Oreochromis niloticus: one gene and its partners. The protein of the gene in region 1 purifies or fractionates together with the protein of each later gene. This does not show direct contact. Links are inferred from orthologs where the notes say so. Each region holds a gene or a part of one and is shown in the gene's direction. Other genes may lie near its edges.

The links. The genes of interacting proteins can lie anywhere in the genome.
Region 2: the proteins of exoc6 (region 1) and exoc8 purify together in Homo sapiens (affinity purification with mass spectrometry; 4 studies listed by BioGRID and IntAct, counting the BioPlex papers as one, with this or other methods). This does not show direct contact. The link is inferred for Oreochromis niloticus from reciprocal best matches to the Homo sapiens genes EXOC6 and EXOC8.
Region 3: the proteins of exoc6 (region 1) and exoc3 purify together in Homo sapiens (affinity purification with mass spectrometry; 6 studies listed by BioGRID and IntAct, counting the BioPlex papers as one, with this or other methods). This does not show direct contact. The link is inferred for Oreochromis niloticus from reciprocal best matches to the Homo sapiens genes EXOC6 and EXOC3.

Annotation. Positions count from the first base shown.
Region 1 is NC_031973.2:28,333,622-28,341,955, reverse strand, and holds the start of exoc6 (exocyst complex component 6), read left to right. Parts: upstream 1-4,723; 5' UTR 4,724-4,765; coding exon 4,766-4,911; intron 4,912-4,922; exon of another isoform or gene 4,923-5,933; intron 5,934-6,714; exon of another isoform or gene 6,715-7,777; coding exon of another isoform or gene 7,778-8,334. Other genes in the region: zinc finger protein 862-like, read left to right, coding at 7,778-8,334. UniProt on the Homo sapiens protein: Component of the exocyst complex involved in the docking of exocytic vesicles with fusion sites on the plasma membrane.
Region 2 is NC_031980.2:18,419,245-18,427,484, reverse strand, and holds the start of exoc8 (exocyst complex component 8), read left to right. Parts: upstream 1-4,892; 5' UTR 4,893-5,030; coding exon 5,031-6,183; intron 6,184-7,277; coding exon 7,278-7,531; intron 7,532-7,964; coding exon 7,965-8,213; intron 8,214-8,240. Other genes in the region: DNA-dependent metalloprotease SPRTN, read right to left, coding at 955-1,976, 2,685-2,967, 3,251-3,379, 3,581-3,680, 3,818-4,149. UniProt on the Homo sapiens protein: Component of the exocyst complex involved in the docking of exocytic vesicles with fusion sites on the plasma membrane.
Region 3 is NC_031982.2:272,142-280,136, forward strand, and holds the start of exoc3 (exocyst complex component 3), read left to right. Parts: upstream 1-4,647; 5' UTR 4,648-4,809; intron 4,810-5,921; 5' UTR 5,922-5,979; coding exon 5,980-6,123; intron 6,124-6,374; coding exon 6,375-6,594; intron 6,595-6,719; coding exon 6,720-6,892; intron 6,893-7,594; coding exon 7,595-7,807; intron 7,808-7,995. UniProt on the Homo sapiens protein: Component of the exocyst complex involved in the docking of exocytic vesicles with fusion sites on the plasma membrane.

The DNA of each region.
Region 1 (8,334 bases):
CTATTGTGTCACAGAGAGAGTGTGTGTGCGTGTGTGTGAGAGAGAGAGAGTTTAAGCTGCATTTGTCTGTCATCTTAAATGTTTATGTATGCTTTCTTCATTTCCATTGTGTAATATCAAGCCATTTTTTGCAACTGCTGGTGTGTGTGTGTGTGTGTGTGTGTGTGTGTGTGTGTGTGAGAGAGAGAGAGAGAGAGAGAGAGTGACCCAGTACTTGTTTTTGGTTGGGTAATAAGGAAACTCATAGTTGTAGCTTTTGTAAAGATGTCATTGGCCCTAATGGGCCAATCAATTCCAAGAAGAATAGCAGGAAATAGAAAGTTCTTGTGTAAGCTGACCGAGGCCTGTTGCCTTGCCCACAATATTAAGAAGAGATGGTAACCTTTTGTGCCACCATGTGTTTATCCACACACCATAATCATTTGAGCTGAGTTTTATTATTGCAATCAAATAGTACATTTAAACATTACAATATTCTCTCTCTCTCTCACACACACACACACACACACACACACACACACACACACACACACACACACACTTCCTTGTATTTGTATAGAATGCAGTAGTCATTTACATTTACACTGTGTAGTTTTAGGTAACATTAGTATTTGAGAACGTTCATTTTGCCCAACTACATTATCACTGTGATGAAGTGTTGAGTACTGTTTCCACAGTGTGTAATGCCAAATACATGCTTTTTTAAGCCTCCATAGTCAAGTGCAATCACCCACAGAAGCAAGCTTAAAATTATAACCATACTATTTGAGGAGTGAACAAATGCAAACATTCAAAATATATTTTTATGGGGAAACTATGATTCATGTATGCACAGGGAGGAATGACTAGCTTAACATCTAACACAGGCTCTTTATCTTTAACCTAACAGGTGTCACACCTGTAACCTGCATGTGTTTGTTTTTCATTTCTTATTGGTCACATGGTTTCCAGAGCGCCACTGCTTGTGGAGAGAGGTGGTGTGGTGTATGTGTGCCACACTTAACTGCCATCACATTAATTAAACGGTGTGCGAGTCTGACAAGTTTTTGGACTTTACGTTATATGTGGTAAACAGACAAACTGTCAGACTGTGGTTCAGTAAATACTCACGTCAAGTTTAGTTAAAAAAAAGAAAAAAGCATGCACAGTGTTAGGAGTCATGCTGCTCTCCTGCAAGTGCAGTGCAAAGAAGGGACAATCGGCCAAAACAGTGATGTTTGTTTGTTTGTTTGTTTGTTTTAGGTTGTTTTTAATGTGCAAGACCTTTGCTTATATTGTTAAATAGGCTGTAGTCAACAGAATTTAATTCAATTCAATTTCATTCAAGGGGCTTTATAATGTAAGATAAAGACCCTGTAACAATACAGAGAGAAAAGAGAAAACCTTAACAGTTTGATGGCCCCCTATGATCAGGCACTTTGGCGACAGTGGGAAGGAAAAACTTGCTTTTAACAGGAAGAAACGTCTGGCAGAACCAGGCTCAGGTGAGGCTGCAAACCACTCCAGTGAGTACTGAAGGTCACATTCTGATGAAGCCAAACGAGCCATGTCATCCGCAACAAGCAAGGTTGCTATTCTGAGACTCTCAGAGCAGACGCCCTCGTCACCCTGGAAGCTCCTTGAGATGCCGTCCATGAAAAATCAAAAACAGGACTTTGCACTTCAGTTTTACAGGGACCTGATGTCCCATAGCAGTGTGCTGGACCCCAAAACACCCACAGGTACCCCCAGGAAAATCTTCTCCAAATCCACAAAACACGCATAGATTGGATGGTCAAACTCCTGTTATCCCTCCAGATGTCCCACAAGGGTTCGACAGCCAGGACAGAACCTGCTTTGCTGCTTCTGGGTCCAAGTTTCAACAACTGACCTCCTTTCCTGGAACAAATGTAATACCCTGACCACTGGAGCTCACTCTCCGGTCCCCCTTTTTGAAAATGGGAATCACCATCCTGGTTTGCCAGTCCACAGGCACTGTGCCAGACCTCCACGTATCATTAAAGACGTATGTCAACCAAGGCAGTGTCCAGAGCCTTTAGCATCTCAGGGTGACTTTCATCTAAACCTGTCGTGTGGCCAACAGGGAGCTCTCTTTACCCAAGTGTCCACAGCCTCAGATCAAATGTTACAGTCTGTCAACCCGTGTGTAGGACAGAGGTCTGAAAGCATCCCCTCAGCACCTAACACCATTGGATACTCCAGAAAAGGACAAATCCAGAGTCCCATCTGCCAGACTTTTGTTCCAAAACCCTTGGTACCTGTGGAGGTGAGACAAACTATATCTAGTCAGTAGTGCTCCAGCTCACATCCCAAATGCCATTCTGCGATATTGGGCGTCCACATGCCCAGCCTCCCACCTTATCCTACCAGCCACGTCACACTGCACCTGATCATAATTGACATCCAGGGTAACTACAGAACACTAGTGGATTTTTTTGTGAAGTGGCCTGACAGAAATCATCTGAATGTGAATAAAACCAGAGGAACTGTGAGGGAAGAGGACACATACACTGTGTCTGTGTTGAGACATAATATTAATGTGGTGGAGGAGTAAAAGTACCTGGACATCCACATTGACTGAGTCAGAAAGTAACAAAGTACAAATACTTCTCAGGTATTTTCAGGTATCTGTACTTTACTGGAAATACTTACTTACTAGTTATTTTTTTTGACAGCCTTTCACTATTACTCCCTGCATTTTAACACAAATATTAGTACTTTCTACTCCTTAAATTTTCAAAACAGGCTAGTTACTTTAGGCTCAGCGGTATCGTCTAGTGTTTATACTCAGTGGTTAAAGTGGGCTGGAACAAGTGCAGGTATGTTGTAGCCAGCTTCTAGCTAGCGCTACGGAAGAGGAATGAGTCCAGGCTGTAATGTCTCTGTACGGCATAACATTTGTTATGTTTGACATTTGTACAATGTTTCTATCAGCTCAACAAACATCAGCAAACACACAAACTGTTCATGTGCAGTTTGTCACAAAGTGTGTTGCTAAAGGTCCAGATGTTGGATTTCCAGGGAGAGAAATGAGAGCAAATTTCATTCATATATGGAGAAAATGTAAGAAAAGACATGAGAGGAGCGGAATAAGAGAGGTTATATTCAAAGGTAATGACTGCTCGTGACACTTGATAAACTGCAGATTTAAAGATGAGATGTCATCATTTTTAATCTTAAGTAATCTTCAGTAAAGAAGTTGAATCAAGTCTGTGTATTTCTCCTTAGGTACTTTTGCCACCTCTGCACTCTGAAGCCAGGCTGAACTGGAAGTCTATCTTTCCCAAAGAAACTGAAATCCTTTAACATGCACAGCAGATATTGGAGAAGTTTTTCTATCAGTTAGTTGTGGAGAGTCTGCTGGTGGAGCTGCTGACAACAACAGACTGAACAAACTGACAGAAAAGGGAGCTCTGTGGTTTACAGGTCACTGAACAAGTGGTTATCCCTCATGGATATTATTACTAATTATATTATTAATACAACAGTTATTATTAGGCAAAATGACTTTGTCACATCAGGCCAGGGAGGTTTGGAGAGATTTTTTTTCCTTAACAACTAAAATCATCATCAAACTGCATTTTGTAGTTTTGTATTTCCTCAAGCTTTATAATATTACATTTTGATCAGTATACAAGTGTGACAACTAACTAAGAAATCAGGCCCTGTATCTGCAACATCAACTGTAGCTTGATGACTGTCTTTTTAATTTTCAGAGGTGAATAAAAGCCACAGTTACTAACACAGAACAGCTGAAATTAGCTTTGTTGGCTTCAAAGTTCAGTGAATCACAAGGTCTCTTTTTCCTGTTGCACCCTTTTTTTCTGCTGACCACAGCAGGTGTCCTGCACGACTCCACACACACACACACACACACACACACACAAAATATCCTCTCTTACACGTACAGATTTTTAGTCTTCATACTTAAGACATACTTCACTAAGAGAGAATGGCTAGTGACAGGATCTATGCTGCTTTACCTGACCCGCCTGGTCAAAGCGAAGGAGAAGGCAAAGAAGAAGAAAAGAAGGCTTTTGGGAATATTTTTGCAGAGTTGGAATCTGTGGACTTACCTCTTGGAACCACCTTAAGGTAAACTCCAAGACACACCCAAGATTCATCTGCTGAACACAACTGAAGGTGGACTGATTTAGCTGAATTACAACATTTAAAACGCTGGTTTATCTCAATACCAAGAGCAGGAAAAAAAAACGCACTTAGAAGCTAGCGGACACATGCAAACTGCGTTTGATTTGATTAAACTGTGAGTTCAATTACAGAAGCATTTAATGTGAAAAAGGGTTAGTATTATTAACGTCAGTGTGCGTCAGTGTGAATTATTTGTCAGGCTTTAACCAGAATTGTATCTTGATGTAACAAAACAAAAACAAACAAACAAATAAAAAACTTGCACACCATAAAGATTTAAATAACCTCCTCTGTATGTTGTTATTTAAAATGTATCTACAGCAGAACTGAGATTAATCAAATAAAAGCCACTAAAGCTCATTTGATAGCAGGCATCTTTATTATTGCAAGTACCGTTTGAATGACAGTACAAATTATTTTCCTGTTTTTTTACTGCTAACCATGCAAACCACTCGCTATACAGTATTTATGATAAGATCATAAACAGTCAAAACCCGTGTGGTTTTCCATGTGGTTGAGGAACCAGGCACAGGCTATGCGGAAACAAAGCCGCAATCGCCGAGGTCAAGACGACCGTAGTGCGCCTCCCACAGGCCGGACCTCACACTGACCTATGCTCCGCTGTAGCTGCAGTGATAGCCGTAATATGCACATAACAATCATGGCGGACAGTGAAACCCTGGAGTGCATAACGGAGCACGAGCGGATTTTACAGGAAATTGAAAGCACCGACACAGCTTGTGTCGGTCCTACTCTTCGGTAAGGATATATAGCTTCTAAAAATGCCCTTAGCGATATAGGTCCTCTGTTTTTCACTGTGTATTACATGATCACACCTTTTGTTTAAGACCTAGCTTAGCCTTACCCAGTAGCAGGCTAGCGCTGGCTATTTTAGCCAACAGTCTAGATAGTGTTGAAATGAGGAATGAGGCTAGCTGTCGTGTTAGCAGCGGTGACTGTGTGGTCATTTTTTAGGTTATGTGTAAGGATGGATGACTAGTGACCTGTCAAAAATGTCAACATCATTTGTGGGTGTGGCTGTGGGACTTCACATCCTTACGTCGTTGTGCAGCTTGAGTTAGCTAACGGCTAACAGGTAACGATTTTGGGTAGTTGTTAGCTAAAATAAAACGAATGCTACGAGCGGATAAGAATACTGATCCTGTGGTGTTGTGTTATTCTGGCGACAGAATTGGTAGTGACAGAGGATGCCGGTGTTCTGGAACACCGGTTTGCTCAGCCTGACGTTCCTTAACACACCGCACTGGTTATTTCAGGCAATTAGATGCCTGAAGTAGCTTCCGAGGCCACAGTGAATGACATTAGTTGAATGCTTCCACCTGTCACACCTGTCCTGTAGACGTGCCTGTAGGCCATGGTTGTTTCTCATACCCTCCAGGTAACAATGCTATCTAGCTTTCTCAGCGTGTGTCTTCATCTCTTATTCTACGGTGACGCTGTCTTTTCTTCATCACTAGGCAGCTTGGTCGGGTGTTGTAAAATGACAGTGACGTGCTGTCAGTGATCATAGGGGTTTGCTTTGCTTACTGTAGAGCTTACTAATAATAAGAAAACTAATTGAAAGGGTCAGGCTAAAAACTGAATTTTTCTTATAGCTAATATTAGTAAATATTTCCTGGATAGTAACGTGCTCTTCTTTTCCAAATGCAGCTCTAGTGCAGTGCACAGGCCTTTCCTGGGTGTGGACTATTATATGGCTCAGGGGACAGAGTTATAAACACTGGGTGTTGTGTGGTGGACTGACTTATCTTTTCATGATGGTAACAGCGAGTCAGTTACTCCAGTATTAACATTACCACTTGGCACTCATGTTCAGTCTTATAAATCACCATTAGACCTGTGCCAGCCTGAAAGCATTGTCCTTGTAGCTTCATTCTTTACAACAGTAATTAAGGATAAACCAGAGGACTTAGGCAAAGACATGTCCTCACTATGTCTTTTTTTGTAGACTGCAATCTGACCTTGCTGAGGAATGCAGGTTATGTTGGCATATTTGTTTCAATGAAAGATTTGTACCTGTTTCCTTCAGCATCCTCACAAGGTCTTCTTCTTTTGTTCTAGCATAGATTCACTTGTTTTGGAGTGCATTTGCTCCTAGGAGGCAGGGCACGTCGCTTTTCAGAGCACTATGGGTCTAGTGTTGGACGTCATGTCCATAATTTAATTATTCTGTTATCCTGCTTGAGATTGCCAATAACCAAGACCATTTTTGTGAAGCAGGGGGGCAAACACGCTAACCATTAAGGCAGCACTGGTCACCCTCCATAATACATACTGTGCAAGTGAAATACAAAGAATACAAAATAGATACTGGGGAAGTAATGTCCCACTTTCAGAAACACAGGAGAGAAGATGAACTGTACAAATCTGCCAGTGTAAACAAGCCACAATGAAAAATTTTGCTGAATTCAACCAAAAACACAGATAAATCTTAATAATTTTACTAACATGTTTAGTCTAGTTTGTGTAAAATGGCTTGACTCCTGCATTCTTAGTAATGTCCTCATTAACACAGCGTTCTTTAATCCACCAAAACAATAGATGTAATAGAAAGTTGAGTGGGGATAGCGACAGACTGCCGACCTGTCCAGGGTGTACCCTACCTCTTGCCCTAAGACAACTGGGAAAGGCTCCAGCGCCCCCCCGCGACCCTGAAAAGGAGAAGCGGAAGGGAATGGATGGATGAAAAAGTTGAGGGAATAAACTGTCATCTCTGCAAATCATACTTTCATTAAACCCGAAACTAAAATCAAGCCAACGGCCAAAAATGCCTGCTGTCTATTTTTCCCCTTATGAGTTCAGTATTGATCAGTGTAGCTGCTCCCTCACATACATGTTGACTTCAAAAGCATGAACTTATGTGTGAATGCACCAAAAACAAATGTTAGATCCAGAAATGCCTGTGGTTGGATCAGTGGTTGCAGGGCTCGCAAAATCGCTAGCCCGACGTCCCGGGGCTAGCGATATTTCCAGTCGGGCTACCAAAATCTATCTCAGCCCTGCCCGTCGGGCTATCATAGGAAGGGAAAATATATGTCAATGCCTTTGCTTTCTTTCGCAAATGTAGCTGAGTAATTATGTCATTGGCATCGATGAGCCTCTGTCAATATCTGCCGTATTGAAATCGCATTTGAATTTGCGCTTGTTTTTTACCTTCAGTTTCACTTTGCGATCGCGCAAACTGTGTATAGAGAGTGGCAGTATTGATTGGTGAGTGACGATTAATTGCGCACCAATTCCTCGGCAATCCTGTTATCATTTGTAGCAGCGACAGGTAATAAACCAGTCCTCATCAAAGAACAGTGCTCTTTAATGAATGCAGCACATAACTTTACATCGTAGAGGTAACGGAGACGCATCGAGTTATCAGTTAGAATATAGTTAAGACGGCTAACTCTACAGTTTCCCGACTGCACTTTCCTCTTATTTGATGACAACACCCTCTAGTGGTGCAATATGGTATAGTCAGACAGGACACAACATCACTTACTAGCTTACTCTTCAAACGTGGCAAGTGAAATCTCCCGCAGCAAGCTTAAACGTGCTAGAGGTTGATTGCGCAGAGAATTTAAAAAAAAAAAATCACTGGCATGTGTAAAGACAGATGGATTTACGCAGGTATTTTAGTTCTGCTGAGCCAAAAAAGACAGGTCAGGATGAAGAAGGGACAGGCAAAGAAAGGCCGACCACAAAGCGGAAAAGTTACGACAAATCAGACTACGAGGCAAAAAGAAAGCGCAGTTTTTTGGTTTCATGGACAAAAGAATTTCTGTGGCTGGAATATGACGAGCTAAATAACATGATGTCCTGCCGGGTGTGTCGTGAGTTTCCCTCGATTTCTGAGTCGACAAGCACCTTTGTTACTGGGACCAGTAATTTTAGGAAAGACCCCATCAGAACTCATGAGAAATCTCTGCATCACAAGAAATGCATTGGTGCTCAGTCTGCAGCATCTGTCCCAGAACAAACACCAATTGCAAAAACCATACTAAAAATAAACCAAGCACAACAAGAAGTCCTGAAAAAGCTGTTTAGAGCAGCGTACTATGTTGCAAAGAGTGAACTACCACTGGCAAAATTTAGCAGTCTTTGCAAACTTCAGAAAGCAAATGGCCTCGATCTTGGTTCCACTTACCTCAATGACCATGCTTGCAGAGAGTT
Region 2 (8,240 bases), on another chromosome or scaffold:
AGTCTAGACACTAATCTAGTCTTCTCATCACTTGATCATCAAGTAAATAATACATCACACCTCACCTGTATTGTTTACTGCTAATCAGTATATGTTGGCACAGTAAATACCTGATAAGCATTTAGCTCAAAGGGTACAAAGTTTAGATTTTTACCACTTTCCTGATATTTAATCATTAAACAAGACAACCGTTGAATACTTGCATTGAATTCACTCCCCCACTGAAATATTCAGTCAAACAGACCAATAAAAATATTTTATTTGGCAATAAAAACCCAAACATATGAATAAAAATATATTCAGGTAGAAATCTGTAATGTTTTAGTCATCCAAGTATTTCTTGTACTGAGGATATGGTGAAGTGTTTTCAAATGTCCTTGCACCACCTGACCCCGCAGGCTGGGTGCAGTGCAAATGTGATGACCTGCAGAAATAAATAGCTAGCGAGTGCGAAACCTGACTCCTACAGATCAGATCAGCAGAGATCAGACGGCGTCTCCTGTTGTCTGAAGGGCAGCAGATGCAGACCTGAGGTTTGGGGGGGTGGGGGTACATCCCACTGCAGGAACCACAAATCAATAATATCCACTTCCAGAGGAGACAAAAAGTAGGTTTTGTAGACTAAGACAAAGCGGTTTCTGAATTCGAACCATAACTGCTAATATCACACTGACGTTCTTCCGCAAAACACTGCTGTCATAGTTTTCTAATGCAGCCCAGTTCAGTGAGGAATTTTGTTACAGCAGACAGAAAGACATGCTGTGAAACTGCAGAAGTAATCAGTGTGATATAAAGTAGGAGAATGTCATTCTTTAAATAGTCAAAATAGTTAAAATGACTATGCCATGCCTTATTGAACAAACAAGGATAAAATTTTATTGAACATCAAAAGTTAAAAAGTTTTAGTGCAACATCAAACTTATTCTGACTTTCTGGAAGTTTTCACCTCCTTATTCAAGAGAGGCAGGAATCAAGATGCTCGTTGATCTTTGACTCCTGGACCTTTGCTTGGCACACTGGACAACTGACCATCACTGCAAAGGAGGAGGAGGATGAAGACGAGGAGGAGGCAACACTGTGCAGTCCTGCTGAGGACTGCAGAGAAGCAGAAGAGGGTGTGGTGGTGGCACTGGTAGTTCTCTGCAGCACTGCTGGTGATTTTGCCTTTATTGATTCCTTCGATGCTGCTGAATCGCTGCCTAAGGTCTTCTGGAAGAAGTCAAAGATGCTGGCAGAGCTGCTGCGGTCATCCCACGCCCTCTTTCTCGGCGTCCGATTCCTACCCACAGCCGCTGATGTGCTGTCACTGTCAGAATTAGTAAAATCCTTGGACTGTACAGCTCTTGAAGTGCTACCCTGGGATCCAGTTGTAACTACAGATGAGACCTTGGAATGGTTTGTTATGTTAGGGCTGGGACTGGGTGTGCTGGGAGAGGAAGTCAAATGATTATTTTGTTGTTTTTGAAATCTAGAGGAGGCAGAAGCAGCATTTGTGGAAGACTTTGGTGATGTCAGTGAGTCTCTTTTGGTCTCTGACTTCCTGAGGCTTGTGCTATTAAAAAGGTCGTCAATGGAACTCTGTTTGCTCTTATCTCCTCCTTGGCTGCTACTACTGCTCTGGGATTTTGGCATTTTCACTGGTGAACCGTTTATGTTGACAAAGTGCGTCGTGTTGCCGACAGACCTCTTTACAGGTGGCTTTCTCCCCATGGAAGTGGATGGTCTGACTGAGGTAAAAGTGTTGGAAATCCCATTGGTCTTGTTAGAGTGAACAGGAGAGGAGAGACTTTTAGGCGGGGACGATGGCGTGAAGAACTTCTTTGGGGAGGGGACAGGGTTGGACAATGGTGTTTTCACAACAGGAAGTGGTGGCCTGGGAGATGGCGAGTAAGACGTTGAGTCCTGAGACTTCCCCCCAAGGATGAAGCCTTTCCCACTAAATGGGATGATGTCCCTTATATCCTGTGATCCAGAACCTGGGACAGGAAATGATACAATTTAGAGTCAACCATGCAATGTATTTAAATCCAGTAACTTAGTTCAAGTGGACCTGGTTTGCTTTTTCTTTAATTTCAGTTCTTATATTATATCTTTTTATATACACGACCAGAGTTTCTGACAATGAAGTCAGTGTATGTAAAGTGATCACTTCAGGTGCTCTAAATCAGGGGTGTCATACTCATTTCACACTGTGGACCACATAAAGTCCATTTTGACCTTAAGTGGGCCTAACCAGTGAAACTCCTCTTTCTGAAAGTGTAAAGAAGTTATTACTATTATTATTACTATTATTATTACTGTTATTATTATTATTACTATTATTATTATTAATTGTGTAGTAATTACACACTTAATGTTTCCAAAGCTGTCCAGTGGGTCAACCGAGAGTCTCTGAGGGGCCAATTCAGTAAATACCATTCTTTATATTTCCTGCATGTTTTGTTGCAGGGGGTCATTTGATTTAAATTGATTTTACATGCTCAAGTTACTCAGTGGAAACAATCTATTCACGGTTAAAAGCAGTCAGGCATCAAAGCATAACATGACTGTTGTTTTGAGGCTGTCACAAAAAATTAAGAACATTTTTCACTGATGTTTAAAATGTTTGAAATATGAACAACATTTTCTAGTTTGTTGGCACAATGTATTAAAGCTTAATACACAGGAGTGTACGGGCATGTTACCTGTAGTCGTACTTGAAGGCTTGCCACTTCCTGCGGCCTTCTTCTCTGAGGTCTTGCTGTTTTTTTGGCCTTTTTTGCCATATCCTTCAGGCTCCTTGATTTTGGTGTATGTGCCACCACATGTTCTCTGGTGATCCTCCCACCAAGGGTCCAGAGAAGAAGGAGCTCTATTCATGGCTCTCTTCACGTAGCCAAAGTAGGGTTTACGCTTCTGGCAGGGCCCATTACACCGCCACCAGTGCTGCCGGTACATATCAACCTCATCGTGGAAGCTGTGGTAGATCTGATGAAAGGAAGGAAAGATGGCAAGACATAAGTTTATGAAAGAGAGAGATTAGAGAAAATCCAAAATGAATTTAAATGTTTCTTGATTACTTTGCTGTACAATCATTGCACCCTGAACAGCAGTTCAAACAAATCATTAAAAGCCCCAAATTCCTATGACATTCAAGTCCATGATGATTATATGTAAACTTCTGAATACAACTGTACATTTGAAGGTTTGTATGTATATGTGGTCCACAAAACAGAATAAGTTTGAATATGTCTCAAGAACATATACTTACAGTAATCTTGGTCCCACTGGCTTTGTTGATCCGGTTCATGTGTTTGCAGAACTCAGGTCCGTGGCCATCTCTGTCCCGGTTATTTTGTGTCACAAACAGGAGCGCGTGAATCATTTCATGGAGAAGGGTCTGTGGCAACCAGTGAAAATAAACTGATTAATAAAATGAAAATTGTCCTCTTTTTTAAGGATTACAAGTTCTAATCTATCACACTGTCACGCATTCACTGCTGGGGTTAGGGAGGTAAAATGATAGTTGTATAAATTTCAGCCCCTACAACAAGCCCTTTCCCAGTGTTTCTGATGTGAATGGTGTTCAGGTCCACCTCACCTCTACCAGGTCTTTTCTGGGTCTAAGCTTCAGCAGAGGCTCACTCAGCCTGATTGAACACAGTCCACCTTGACCCTCATAAGAACAAACTCCAGCACACCTAAGAGAAGAAAGAGAGGAAAAGAGGAGCAGGACACATTACAGACATGCCAAACCAAATCCCATACAAAAATCAAAGGTGTTATTGTGTAGACAAGTTTGTGGGAGTTAAAAATAACAAAAACATGCATGACTTACAAGGTCATTCTCGAGCTCCACTTCACCTCCACACCGCTGAGTTTACCCCAGAAGAACATGTCATTGAACTCCAGAAACATGGCCCTGATGTCGGGGCTAGGGTCAAGCATCTCCCAGGACTCGTCCACAATGGACAGTGGCCTCTCAAGCTGGGGATTCGGTTTCCAGTAGGGAACAACATCGCTACCACCTCCAGCTACCTCCACTCTCCGTTTCTTATTGCTCTGCCCGAAACTATTATCTATAGTACCACTTGATGAAGATAATGAAGCCCGGTATTCCTGATCAAACTGCTCCTGCAGCCGAATAGCGAGCAGAAAATCCTCATCCATGACAAGAGAGGAAAGTTTTTTTGTTGTTTTGATGATATTTGTTGTTATGTTCTTTTTGGTTAGCGTGTTAGCGCCAACTAGCTAATGCAGTTTGTACAGGTCTCAAAAAAGCGGTAGCATCACGTCGTCTCAAAATGTAGTCTGACAAATTACCAATACGTGTCCAAATACTTTCTGTCATGAAATTTTCAGTAACATTTTCATATTACTAACCGTCAGACCAAAGCTAGCGCGAAGATCCGTGTATCAGGTCTGTCACAATAGGACAAAATAAATTCCGCTACGGGTTTCAAAGTAAAACAACTAAGTCAGTTTTAAACGACTAAGTAAGTTTTAAGTAAAAGCCTGAGTTCAATATGGCTATTTTCTTTTTTGTTTTGATGTATAAGTTTAAAATATCAAACTATCTGCATATGCGTTCTGTAGCATCCACTAATATCTTTTTTCAAAAATGGAACATTCTTTCGTTTTATAAAATGCTACATCCTGTTTAGTTTTGCGTAACTACCATAAACTTGATAGAATAGTCAAGCGAAGGTCTTGGCAATGGATTATGGGAACTGTAGTGTTGTTCGTTTCAAGTAGTTTCCACCAGTTAAATAAATAAAAGCAACACGGCTTTCTAATATAAATCATTAACATATGTTAAATTATATTAAAAATAAATATAAGACCCATTATGAACGACTAATTATCATTTAGATTTTTTAAAATTGTTTTTATTATTTTTTTGTATCCCGTGACGTTCCAGGGTGTCAACTTCCTGTTTAGACTACAAGCGGATATGAACCAAGGAGCCTCGATAAACTAGTTCTCTGTCCAGTTTTTTCTATATTTTCTCAACAATTTATCTCAATAAGTAAACAGTTACACGGCAAAAGATGTCGGAAACGGGGAACCGACTACGGAAGCTGCTCGAATCGCCCAATTTCGACCCGCAAAATTACGTCAAGCAGCTGTCACAGCAGTCCGATGGCGACAGGGATTTGCAGGAGCACCGACAAAAAATCCAAAACCTTGCGGACGAAACGGCTCAAAATCTGAAGAAAAATGTTTACAAGAACTACAGACAGTTCATCGAAACTGCCAAAGAGATTTCCTATCTGGAGAGCGAAATGTACCAGCTGAGCCACATCCTGACTGAACAGAAGAGCATCATGGAGAGTATCACTCAGGCCCTGCTGTCCACAGATAAGGATGAGACGTCTAAAGAGATGCAGGCAGCTTTTCCCAAGGAGACGGAGGAGGTGAAGCAGAGGACCCTCACCTCACTGTTGGAGAAAGTGGAAGGGGTTAAAAACATCATGGACACCCCAGGCAGGCACCTTATCTACAATGGGGACCTTGCAGAGTTTGATGTTGACAACATGTCCCCCATTCAGAAGGTGCATGCTTTCCTGATGAATGACTGTCTGCTGATTGCCACCTGGCTGCCTAACCGCCGTGGCACGGTTAAGTATAAATACAACGCTCTGTATGACCTGGAGAGCTTTGCTGTGGTTAACGTAAAAGACAACCCTCCGATGAAGGACATGTTCAAGATCCTGATGTTTCCAGACAGCCGCATCTTCCAGGCAGAGAACAGCAAAGTTAAGAAAGAGTGGTTGGAGATCCTAGATGAAACCAAGAAAAACAAAGTCTCCAAAGACAGGCACAAGAAGGAGGAGGAGGTCCCCACTTCTCCTGTTAGAGCTGAGGTATCCACCAATCCTTTTGATATGGATGACGATGAAGACACGGTTGATGGTGAGGAGAGCGTGAATCTTAGTCTTGAGTGGATCCAGGAGCTGCCAGAGGATCTGGACGTGTGCATTGCCCAGAGAGACTTCGAGGGTGCTGTTGACCTGCTGGACAAGCTCAACGAGTATCTCAGAGATCAGCCTGTCACCCCGAAGGTTAAAGAGCTTAGGGGGAAGGTGGATGAACGTGTGCGGCAGCTGACAGAGGTCCTGGTGTTTGAGTTGTCTCCAGATCGGTCACTTCGTGGCGGTCCTAAAGCAACCCGGCGGGCTGTTTCCCAGCTCATCAGACTAGGTCCTTTTATTTTTTTGTATTTTCCTCAATAATAACAAGCTTGCACACATCACCAAAACAAATAACACCTGTCTGCTTAGATCTCACTTTATATTCAGTGTATTCACAGTAAGGAGCCCACTCACAGGGTTTCCACAATTCACTGTTCATTATTCAGGGAGTTTAGCTCATTCTCTTCCATCATTTGCATGGACTTGACTTTCAAATTGCTTGTTGTCCGAGTTCGACCTTGGATGCAGTTAAAGTGTAATTTTCAGACAAATAAGCTGTGCTTGCGGTGATCTGTACGTATTCACTGTTTTTCTCTTCATCTTCAGTCAAGGTGAATATTCTCAAACTACTTAATTAAGAAAATAACTTTCCTATTCAGAGCACTAAGAGAACTAACCTCATGATAGTTTATATATAGTTTACTATTTATTTTTTGTCAGAATTGTTCTTGAATGGCCAAATGTTATAAAGCCTTAGAAATTTGTATTTTGCTTTGGTGCAGAACAGCTTCGAGTGGATCCATTTTTAATTATGCCTGAGCTTTGCAAACAGACTCCCACACACTGACTGATTTGCAAAAACATGTTTATTTGCAATTTTTCAGTACTTGACCTTTTTCGGGCAAAACATTATCCTTTAGCAGGAGTATGTAGGGTATAAACCTATTTTAAAACTCAATCAAAAGGAAAGAGAGAGACACTGAGGTAGGATCGCTTTGGCAATGTGAAAAAATCACAAAAGTTCATATTTCAGTTAACTATTAACATATAATACTCTCTTAATATCTCCCATAATTATTTTCTAAACATTTTGTCCCTTCACTCCCAGGTATTCTTTATATATTCAAGGAGAATTTGCCATCCACTTTACTCAAATTTAATTGACTTTTTTTTTTCCATTTAGCTTAATAGGTTTCAAGACATATACTAAAAAACATACCAGAATCAGCTGAGAAATAGCTACACATGTTGTACATTTGCAGTCATAAATATAAAGGCCCTCAGATTCCCATAATGCATCACAGTTTGCATGTATTTGCAAAAAGACAATGTAATTGCCATGAACATCTGTACTGTCTCATCACACAGTCATCTGTGTTTCAGGCCAGTCCACTAAAGCCTGTGAGCTGTTTCTGAAGAACCGCGCCGCTGCAGTGCAGACTGCTATACGGCAGCTTCGCATTGAAGGAGCCACGCTGCTCTACATCCACAAACTCTGCAACATATTCTTCACCAGCCTGCTGGAGACGGCCAAGGAATTTCAGATGGACTTTGCCGGGAACACAGGCTGCTATTCTGCCTTCGTGGTCTGGTCCAGATCAGCCATGAGGATGTTTGTGGACGCCTTCAGCAAGCAGGTAGTTAGAATGTCAGATGGTAAAACCCTAAAATGAGTAATAGGTACGTCCCCTATGATTAGAAGATATGTAACATCTATCATTTGTATATTCTTTATTGTTTATAGCCAAAAACATACTAAGCGACTGAGACACGATGTAATATTTGTGTGTTCCGGTGGTGTTTTTGGGTGTTAATGGTTTAAAATACGCAAATAACCAACAATGTGTCTAGGTATACAGAGGATAAGCTTCTGGATCTCAGGTGTATAAAAAATTTGAGTTCTTTTAGTAATAAAAAAAAAGCCATCTGAGAAGGGCAAAGAACTGAAAAGTATTGCTGCAACACAAGAGGATCTCTTAAATGGCAGCCAGAGCATGCAGCGTGCAAGTTTAAATTTATGGTTGTATAGTTTTCTTAATACAGTAAATTTTTTTATTTCCTCATTGCTAGGTGTTCGACAGTAAGGAGAGCCTGTCGACGGCAGCGGAGTGCGTGAAAGTGGCTAAAGAACACTGTCAGCAGCTCACCGAGATCGGCCTGGACCTGACTTTCACCCTGCAGTCCCTGCTGGTCAAAGACATCAAGGCAGCGCTCCAGAGCTACAAAGATATTATCATCGAGGCCACGAAACACAGAAACTCTGAGGAGATGTGGAGGAGGATGAACCTCATGACTCCTGAGGCTTTGGCTAAACTTAAGGTGGATCAGAATTATTTCTGTTTTGTC
Region 3 (7,995 bases), on another chromosome or scaffold:
TATTTCGTTTTCATATGTCCCTATTTTCAGTGATATCAACCATAATAGCAGGAAATTGACAAAGCATGTAATTATTTTCTTTCTCTTCTTCTCACCATATTTCTCAAGTGAATTTCCTGGAGGAACCCACCCAAGGGATAAATAAAGTTTCATCTAATCTAAGTAACCTATATTTGACAACAGGATGTAATATTCACAAGTCAGAGCTGAAAATAAAACCACAAAAGATGAGACACAAAACTTTATTTCACAACTAACACTTTAAAAGGAGGATTTTAGACAAAGACTGAGGGAGGGCTGTCACGGTACTGGGTCGTGTGACCCAGTGTTTGAGTTTTATTGTATTTTGTTTTCTATTCGTGTTCTGCTTTGAGTTTAGTTTACCTTATTAAGTGCTACGATGCCTAGATTGCTGTGTTAGTCCTTTGCTTTGCAGATCCTTTTGTCTTCTCCCCTGTTCTAAGTCTCCCTGCTTCATTAATTTGTGACTGCCAAATTAATGTGTTAGAGCGATTTGCAAAAACTCCTGGTTGTGTTATGTGGGTTCAAGTATCAAGAGTTGGCCCTGAAAATCATGCTTTATGTCTCTGTGGTGCTGGTTAAATTTATGTCATGTCTGCATCTTGTAATGTTTCCTGTTTATTTGGAAGTCTTGTTTCCATGTTCTATGTACTTAGCTTTCACTTCCACTGAGGCGTCATTATGTTCATTCCAGTCAGCTGTTGTCCTCATGTGTCTCCACTTCCCCCGATCACCTCGTGTGTGTATTTAAGCCCTCAGTCTTCCTGTGTTCAGTGTGGTGTCGTCTGTGTTCCCTTCCCCATGTCTAGGTTTAGACTTCATAGTGTCCCTTCATGTTTTAGAGTATTTTCAGCGTTCATAGCTTTCACAGTCTCTCCAGTCTCGTAATAGTTTAGTCATAGTTTTCTTAGTCTGCGCTCTACCAGTTTGCTTACTTAATTTTTGTATGCTCTCTTATCAGCCCCAAATAAAGGCTGGTTTTTCGTTAAAGTAATTCCGTCTCCTCGTCAGTGTCCACACCTGAGTCCTCCACTCATTCTCCATTCGGTCTGCCTCCCGCAGACCGTGACAGTGGCGAGCTGTGTTCCCAGGGAGGACAAATCTGTCCACACCAGTATAAAGTAGGGTGACCATATTTTGATTTCCAAAAAAGAGGACACTTGGCCCAGTCATGAAGAACTTTAATAATACTGTTTGCTTAAAGAAAATTTTAACATATTTAAACGATGCCTTCTCTGTGCGGTTAATGAATGGTGAAACAAAAATGTCACATAGGCTTTTACAAGTCAACAAGGGAAAAAAAATAACTTAAAAACCTCTGAAATTAAATAATGGTACTGAAATAAGGGCTCATCTGTATAAGACAAATTACCAGTACAGGGACGGTATGAGGGAAATTTTGCAATTTGTCTGAAAAGCTGCATTTGTGCTTTGGCATCTTTTAAACATCACCAGGCCCGCTGCTGCGCGCTGTCTGTCCCGTCTGTGAGCACAGTGGCAGAACAACAACTCACAAAGCTGCAGCTCGAGGATGACGTCACACATATGGGTCCTCTGTAGGAAAACCCGGACATTTTCATCAATCTCGAAAATCCCCCCGGACGCCCTGGAGAGAACGTGAAAAGTGGACATGTCAGGGGAAAAGAGGATGGTTGGTCACCACACTTAACAGGGGATCTATACACTGCAAATGACCACATGTAAATTAATGACACGGCACTCCATAAAACTAAGATGGGACCCCTAATTACAACTCCCTGCCTAGTTTGGGATGCACTGCATCTAGTGCTCACCTTCCTCATCTTCTCAAGCTCCTCTTTGAGCCCTTGGTACTTCTCCAGCTTCTCGTGTTCATTCTTCCTGATGTTGCTGTCACTTAGTATCACTACATCGATAACTGTAGCGTCTTCTTCCGCTTGTCCACCACCACTATATCCTGTTGGTTAGGTGACATCACCAGACAGGTGATGTTGGTTAGCCACCATTTTGTCCGTCTACGCCTCTGGTATTCTTGCCAGTTCAGCTAACCAACAGGATATAGTGGTGGTGGTGCCTGTTCATCTTAGTTGCTATGATGCCCGACAAGAGCTTCCATGTGATACTGAGGCAGGTTATTGGATGGGACTGACCCCTCCTGGAGTCCCTGAGGATCAGCACCATCCGGCTGTCGGTTAGTCATGACTCATTTCGGGTGTCTTTCGCCGACTAGCAGATGGTTCATTTGTGCTGCCAGATGCTTATGGAGTGCAACCTTCTTAAGCCGTGAACCATGTCATGGCCTGGTGATGTCCAACTCTTCATACTGGAGGCCTACTCTTGGATGTCTGCCACTGTAATGGTTACTGGACCCTATTCAGGGAGGTTGCTGTGGTCTGATCTAAAATTCACTAGCCACTGAGCATTGCTGTTATGGACTGTGTCCTTCTCCCAAATGCTCTTTCAGTATTGCTCAATCTCCGGCCTTGGTGGTGCTGTTCTGGCTGCCCAGCCGGGGCAAGCCGCTCTCATCTGCCCTTTCTGGTGATATCAGCTCTAGCCTGACTGGTGATGTCAGCAAACTGCTGGACTGTGGTTTTAAAAACGGAGCTTTATGATGAACAGTGGTAATAAAAATCGAGAGAGGCCGACAGTGATACTTACTGTTGCCTTACTGTTTTTAGGGGCTCGTGGAGATTAAATAGAGCAAGATACAAAGCATTAAAACTTGTTAAGAACACAACAGCCTTAATAAACGCAGAGTCGTTCGGGCTCTGAAGTAGGGTTCACCACGTCATCACTTAAAGACCGGATAGCAACCAGGCTCACACCTGCCTCCTTAATAAGCTCTGTTTGTCAATCTCCCAAGATTACTCTTAAAGACTTCTGTTTCAACAGCCGCTGTGTGCGCAGTGTTTGCTCCACAGCCATCATTTAAACCTCAAAACATAGCCATTGTTGTTCTCTTTCCAACAGTGTGTCTTTCAAAGGTCAGAGATGTAAACTTTTTGAACTGTGTGGATCCAAGTAGAGAGATAACCTTCTAACCCATAGAAAAATATTTTATTTTCACTCAGGAGTTTGTCTCAACAGCAGAAAAGACCTCACGTTTTTAAATCACTTCTGTGACCACGTTCTTTGACAGCAGGAACATAAAGAACACACTGTTGTGTAGAACTAGTCGTCGGGATCCTCACGGTTCAAAGGCTGTTTTGATAGGAGTTACGGTCTTGGATTTAGATGCAGTTTTTCAACAGGTGCAGTAAGGCAGATTTGACAGGGTTTTGCCACAGAATAATAGTATGTCAGTAGTTAGTGCAATGTTAGTCAACTCCAGGCCTCGAGGGCCGGTGTCCTACAGGTTTTAGATGTGTCCTTGATCCAACACAGCTGATTCAAATGGCTAAATGACTTCCTCAAGATATCTTGTAGTTCTCCAGAGGCCTGGTAATGAACTAATCATTTGATTCAGCTGTGTTGACCCAGGGTGAGATCTAAAACCTGCAGGACACCGGCCCTCAAGGCCTGGAGTTGCCCACCCCTGGGTTAGTGCATGCCAGCTGGATAGAGCATTCTGATTGGCCCGTTAAATTCAAGCTTATTGTTCATTGGTGGATTTCTCTTCTGCACACAGGTGGTTCAGATCTGGGCTGCTGGAGTCACTTGATGACTTTTAGAATCATCTTTTCTGACTGAATGGTTAAAACTTACAGCATTTACCTGTCTGTAGTGAATTCTCCCACATTTCAGTTATTCAGTGATTCAAAGAATATGAACTTTTAATATTCATTCAGATGTTTTCTGACTCTAAATTTTCTTTTGTCATTTCTCAGCTTTTTAATTTACATCTTAAACATGTTCAGCTACTTCTTTGTGGTTGTCAGCTCTCAACAGTTCTGCACTTTTCTTTTCAGGTGAAAAATTCCGCATTTTTCAGCTCATTCAACATTTTTAACTTAACATTCAGCAGTTATTTCATTTCAGCTCAAAACATTCAGCTATCAGCATTCACACTGCAGTTTCTTCAGAAAATGTGTTTCCTACTTTTTTCATTGATTTGTTGTGGTGTGTTTAGTTGCCTTGTACAGCACGTCAAAGTTGTGCTTTTAAATCGTGCTCTACTTGGATTGAATTACACATAAAAAATGTGCAACCAAAAACTGTTTTTGTTCAGCTTTAATAAAATAAAAAATAAAAAAATACAACACAAACACAAAATGAAGGAGAGATGACAAAAACAGTGGGAGAAAGAAAGGACAGGATGGTGGATTTATAAAATCCAAAGAAAACTGGAGAAATGAAAACTACAGGATGGAGGAGAAAAAAAACAATCATCACATCTCAGATTTCGGCACACTGGGCTAAACGGCACACTATTCATTTTAGGGAAACATTGCAATGAAAAATGTGAGTATTGATGAGACAATAGAGAATGTTATATTACACTGTATGAGGAAGAAGCAAGACAACTGATTGAAAGCCTGAATTGATTTAAACTTAAACTAGATTTAAATGATTTACTTAGAAATAAATGAGGAAGCAAAAGTTACCAGGCCATATTTAATTGTCTTAGACAAACGCATTTGTATGACATTCCGATCCACACTCCAAACCAGTTGGTGGCGGTATTCACCAATTCGTTGTTTGTCAACAGCCAATAAACACCAAGAAGAAGAAGCAGCAGGCGTCTCCTGCGCTGCTGGAAGCAGGAAGTTGAACAACGACAACAAAGGCTGTGTTAGTTGAAATAATAATATATTTAATACTGGTAGATATGGTTGTTGTCTTCCCTCTGGGTTTGCCTTAAGTGAGGTAAGTTTCCGGGTCTGAAGAACTAGCTTGTTTTATTGTCGCTGACACTGGGTCGTTTTCGCCTGTTGTTAGCTTAGCATGCATTTACTACGTTGGATCATCTGTTTTCATTTCAACGTTAGAGTTGATTTATATACTTGATCCAGTCACGACTGTGTTCGAATGTGGTGCTATAGCTGTCAGTGCAAAAACAACACTAGCTTTTATTGTGTTGCATTAACGTTACGCGGGGCATTAGGACCACAGAAGCCATTTAACTGTGTCTGCCAATGAAGTACTGTCAAGAAGACAAAGGCTGTGCCAGAGTCATTTGGAAATGACTTTCTGTCCCTGCGACAGAGCTGCCCAGGGTTTAGTCCGCTTCTTGCTCTGTGACAGCTCCAGCGCCCCTTCGTCCGAATGGGATAACCGGAAGAAAATAATGGACGTGACATTCACGTGCATGTGATGTGTCAGGATTAGACATTACCTTCAATAATTGCACAGCATTATTGGTTTTATAAACAGGACCTTGGAAAGATGTATGTGCCTTCACAAGTGGAATACCATCTTAGAGCCGCAGCATACAGTCCCCAACACCAGTGGCTGACTACCTTCCTTTTATCTCGCAAATCCTTGAAAAAGTAGTTGTTAAACAGCTAACTGATCATCTGCAGAGGAATGGCTTATTTGAAGAGTTTCAGTCAGGTTTCAGAGCTCATCACAGCACAGTATCCTTCTCTAACAGAATTAGAGAAGGATACAAATGATCTTCTTATGGCCTACAGCGTTCAAAATTTTATCACAGTGATAAGAGCATGTTGTAGATCAAATTGAATTAAGTTGAATTGAATTACTGGCACAAGATGGTGCTAAACATGTTCTAAAAAACTTACTTCTTAAATCCAGCTTCACAGACAGTGTGAAAATTTATGCCAGTTTTTAGAGTTGGGCTTTATAGTGTAAATTAGCCTTTATACACGTAGGGTTTCATGTCCACATTAATCAAGGTATCTAAAGCAGTCATGAGTGCTAAAGTTTGTAAAGCAAAGCATTGCATTGAATAAATGGTTAAATGTGTTTTAGAAAAGCACTACATAAAGATCAACCCTTTCGATATTTTTCTCTTTAAGCAGGTCCTTGTGTGGAAACCTTTGGACACACCTGACACCTTATTTCCTGAGCAGGACAATGGAGGAAACAAGCAGGGAGGCAGTTGCCACTGCAGTGCAGCGTGTGGCAGGGATGCTGCAGAGGTCAGACCAGCTGGATAAAGTGGAGCAATACAGAAGACGAGAGGCCCGTAAAAAGGCGTCAGTGGAAGCGCGGCTCAAGGTGATGTGTTTCATCTGTGTGTACTATTATTGTTTTCTTAGCATTGTCTAGTATTTGTATTTAATAACAGCTAAGATAAAGGTATGCTTTTTTTATAGCGACTGTATTAATTATTAATCTACACAGTAAATGGATACACGGTAAACAAGAAAGCAAAGCATTTGTATATAGCACAACGTTATTAAGTCACAGTAATTCAACAATGATACTGAACATGAATCTGTTTCCTGATGGTCCTTGATGTTCTTCAGGCAGCCATTCAGTCCCAGTTGGATGGTGTTCGGACTGGACTGACCCAGCTGCACAGTGCTCTGCTAGATGTCAAAGATATCCAGAGCTCATTGGCTGATGTGAGTAAAGACTGGAGGCAGAGCATTAACACCATTGAAAACCTAAAAGACGTCAAGGATGCTGTAGTTCAGCACAGCCAGTTGGCTGCTGCTGTGGAAAACCTAAAAAATATCTTCTCTGGTAAGTTTAGCTAAACCTAAAAACTTCAATCTAAAAGATGCCAACAACATCCCGTTACTATAGAAACCTTATCTGCTCTTGGTTTTTACAGCCATGGGTGTCTTTTTCCTTTGCTTTGTGTATAGTGCCAGAGATAGTGGGAGAGACACAGCAGCTGATAGAACAGGCAGAGCTGCTGCAGGCCCACAGGAAGCTGATGGAGCTGGAGTGTTCACGTGATGACCTCATGTATGAGCAGTACCGTATGGACAGCAAGAACACCAGTGACATGAATCTCATTTCCATCTACTTTGAAGATGTAAGCGAACATAGCAAAGTTGATGTAGAGAGTTGGACCAGTGGCAGCCGTCCCCCTAAAAATGTTGTTGGAATAAAATCCATCACAAAATACAAAAAAACGTCATAAATAAGTACAGTTTGCTCAGACTACATGTGTGGTTGCGCACACGTGCCTGCTAGAATACATTTTGTGGTCAAACTCCATTACATTGTGCTTAAAGTTCATGCAAATAATATGCATGTATTCACTTCCTTGTACAGGAAATGAATACATGCAAAGCGGAGTTCCAGTTGGCGCTTGGAATTCTCCTCTTGGGTTACAAGTTTGTGCACCCCTGGTCAACTGGCATAGATTACCTGCCTTGTTTAAGAATTTCATTGGACAAGTCAGTGTCAGTCACACATGGTCACAGCACAGGTACTTTTGTCATTTGAAAACTTGGCATTGAAAAGGCATAAAAGAGCTACATCTGAAAAAAGTGAATAAAAATCTCAGATTGTTAGATACTAGCAGATACTAAGTGCTTAAAAAAATACAGTTTATGATTAAAAAAGTTTGACCTGGCTTCATGAAGTGACACCAGTTCCTTAAACCTGCATTCATTCTTTTTGTTTTTAACCAGACCAAAAAACTCCCGTGATTAAGAATATAGCCTGGTTCAACATTAGTAGTTGTACAGAAGCCTCTCAAAAAGCTTTCGCTCTCTCTGTTCTCTTCCAGGTTCAGGGACTGTCAGACGAGCTGGCTAAACAATTATGGATGGTACTGCAGCGGTCCATGGTAACAGTTCGTCGTGACCCCACCATGCTGGTGTCAGTAGTTCGTATCATTGAGCGGGAGGAGAAGATTGATCGGCGTATGGTTGACCGAAAAAAGCAGACTGGGTTCATCCCGCCTGGGCGACCCAAAAAGTGGAAAGAAAAGATGTTTGAGGTCAGAACAGAATAATACTTTGTAACTACTGAGAGAAAAATCAACAGAAACAATTTCAAAGGGTCTGAAAACTCTCCACATCTTTATTTTTTTTAAGTACCTGCCACCTCTTCCTTCTTCTTCTTAAATCATATCAGTCAATCATGTGTTTGTGTGTACTTATCCAAAACTTGTTTACATTTAATTTG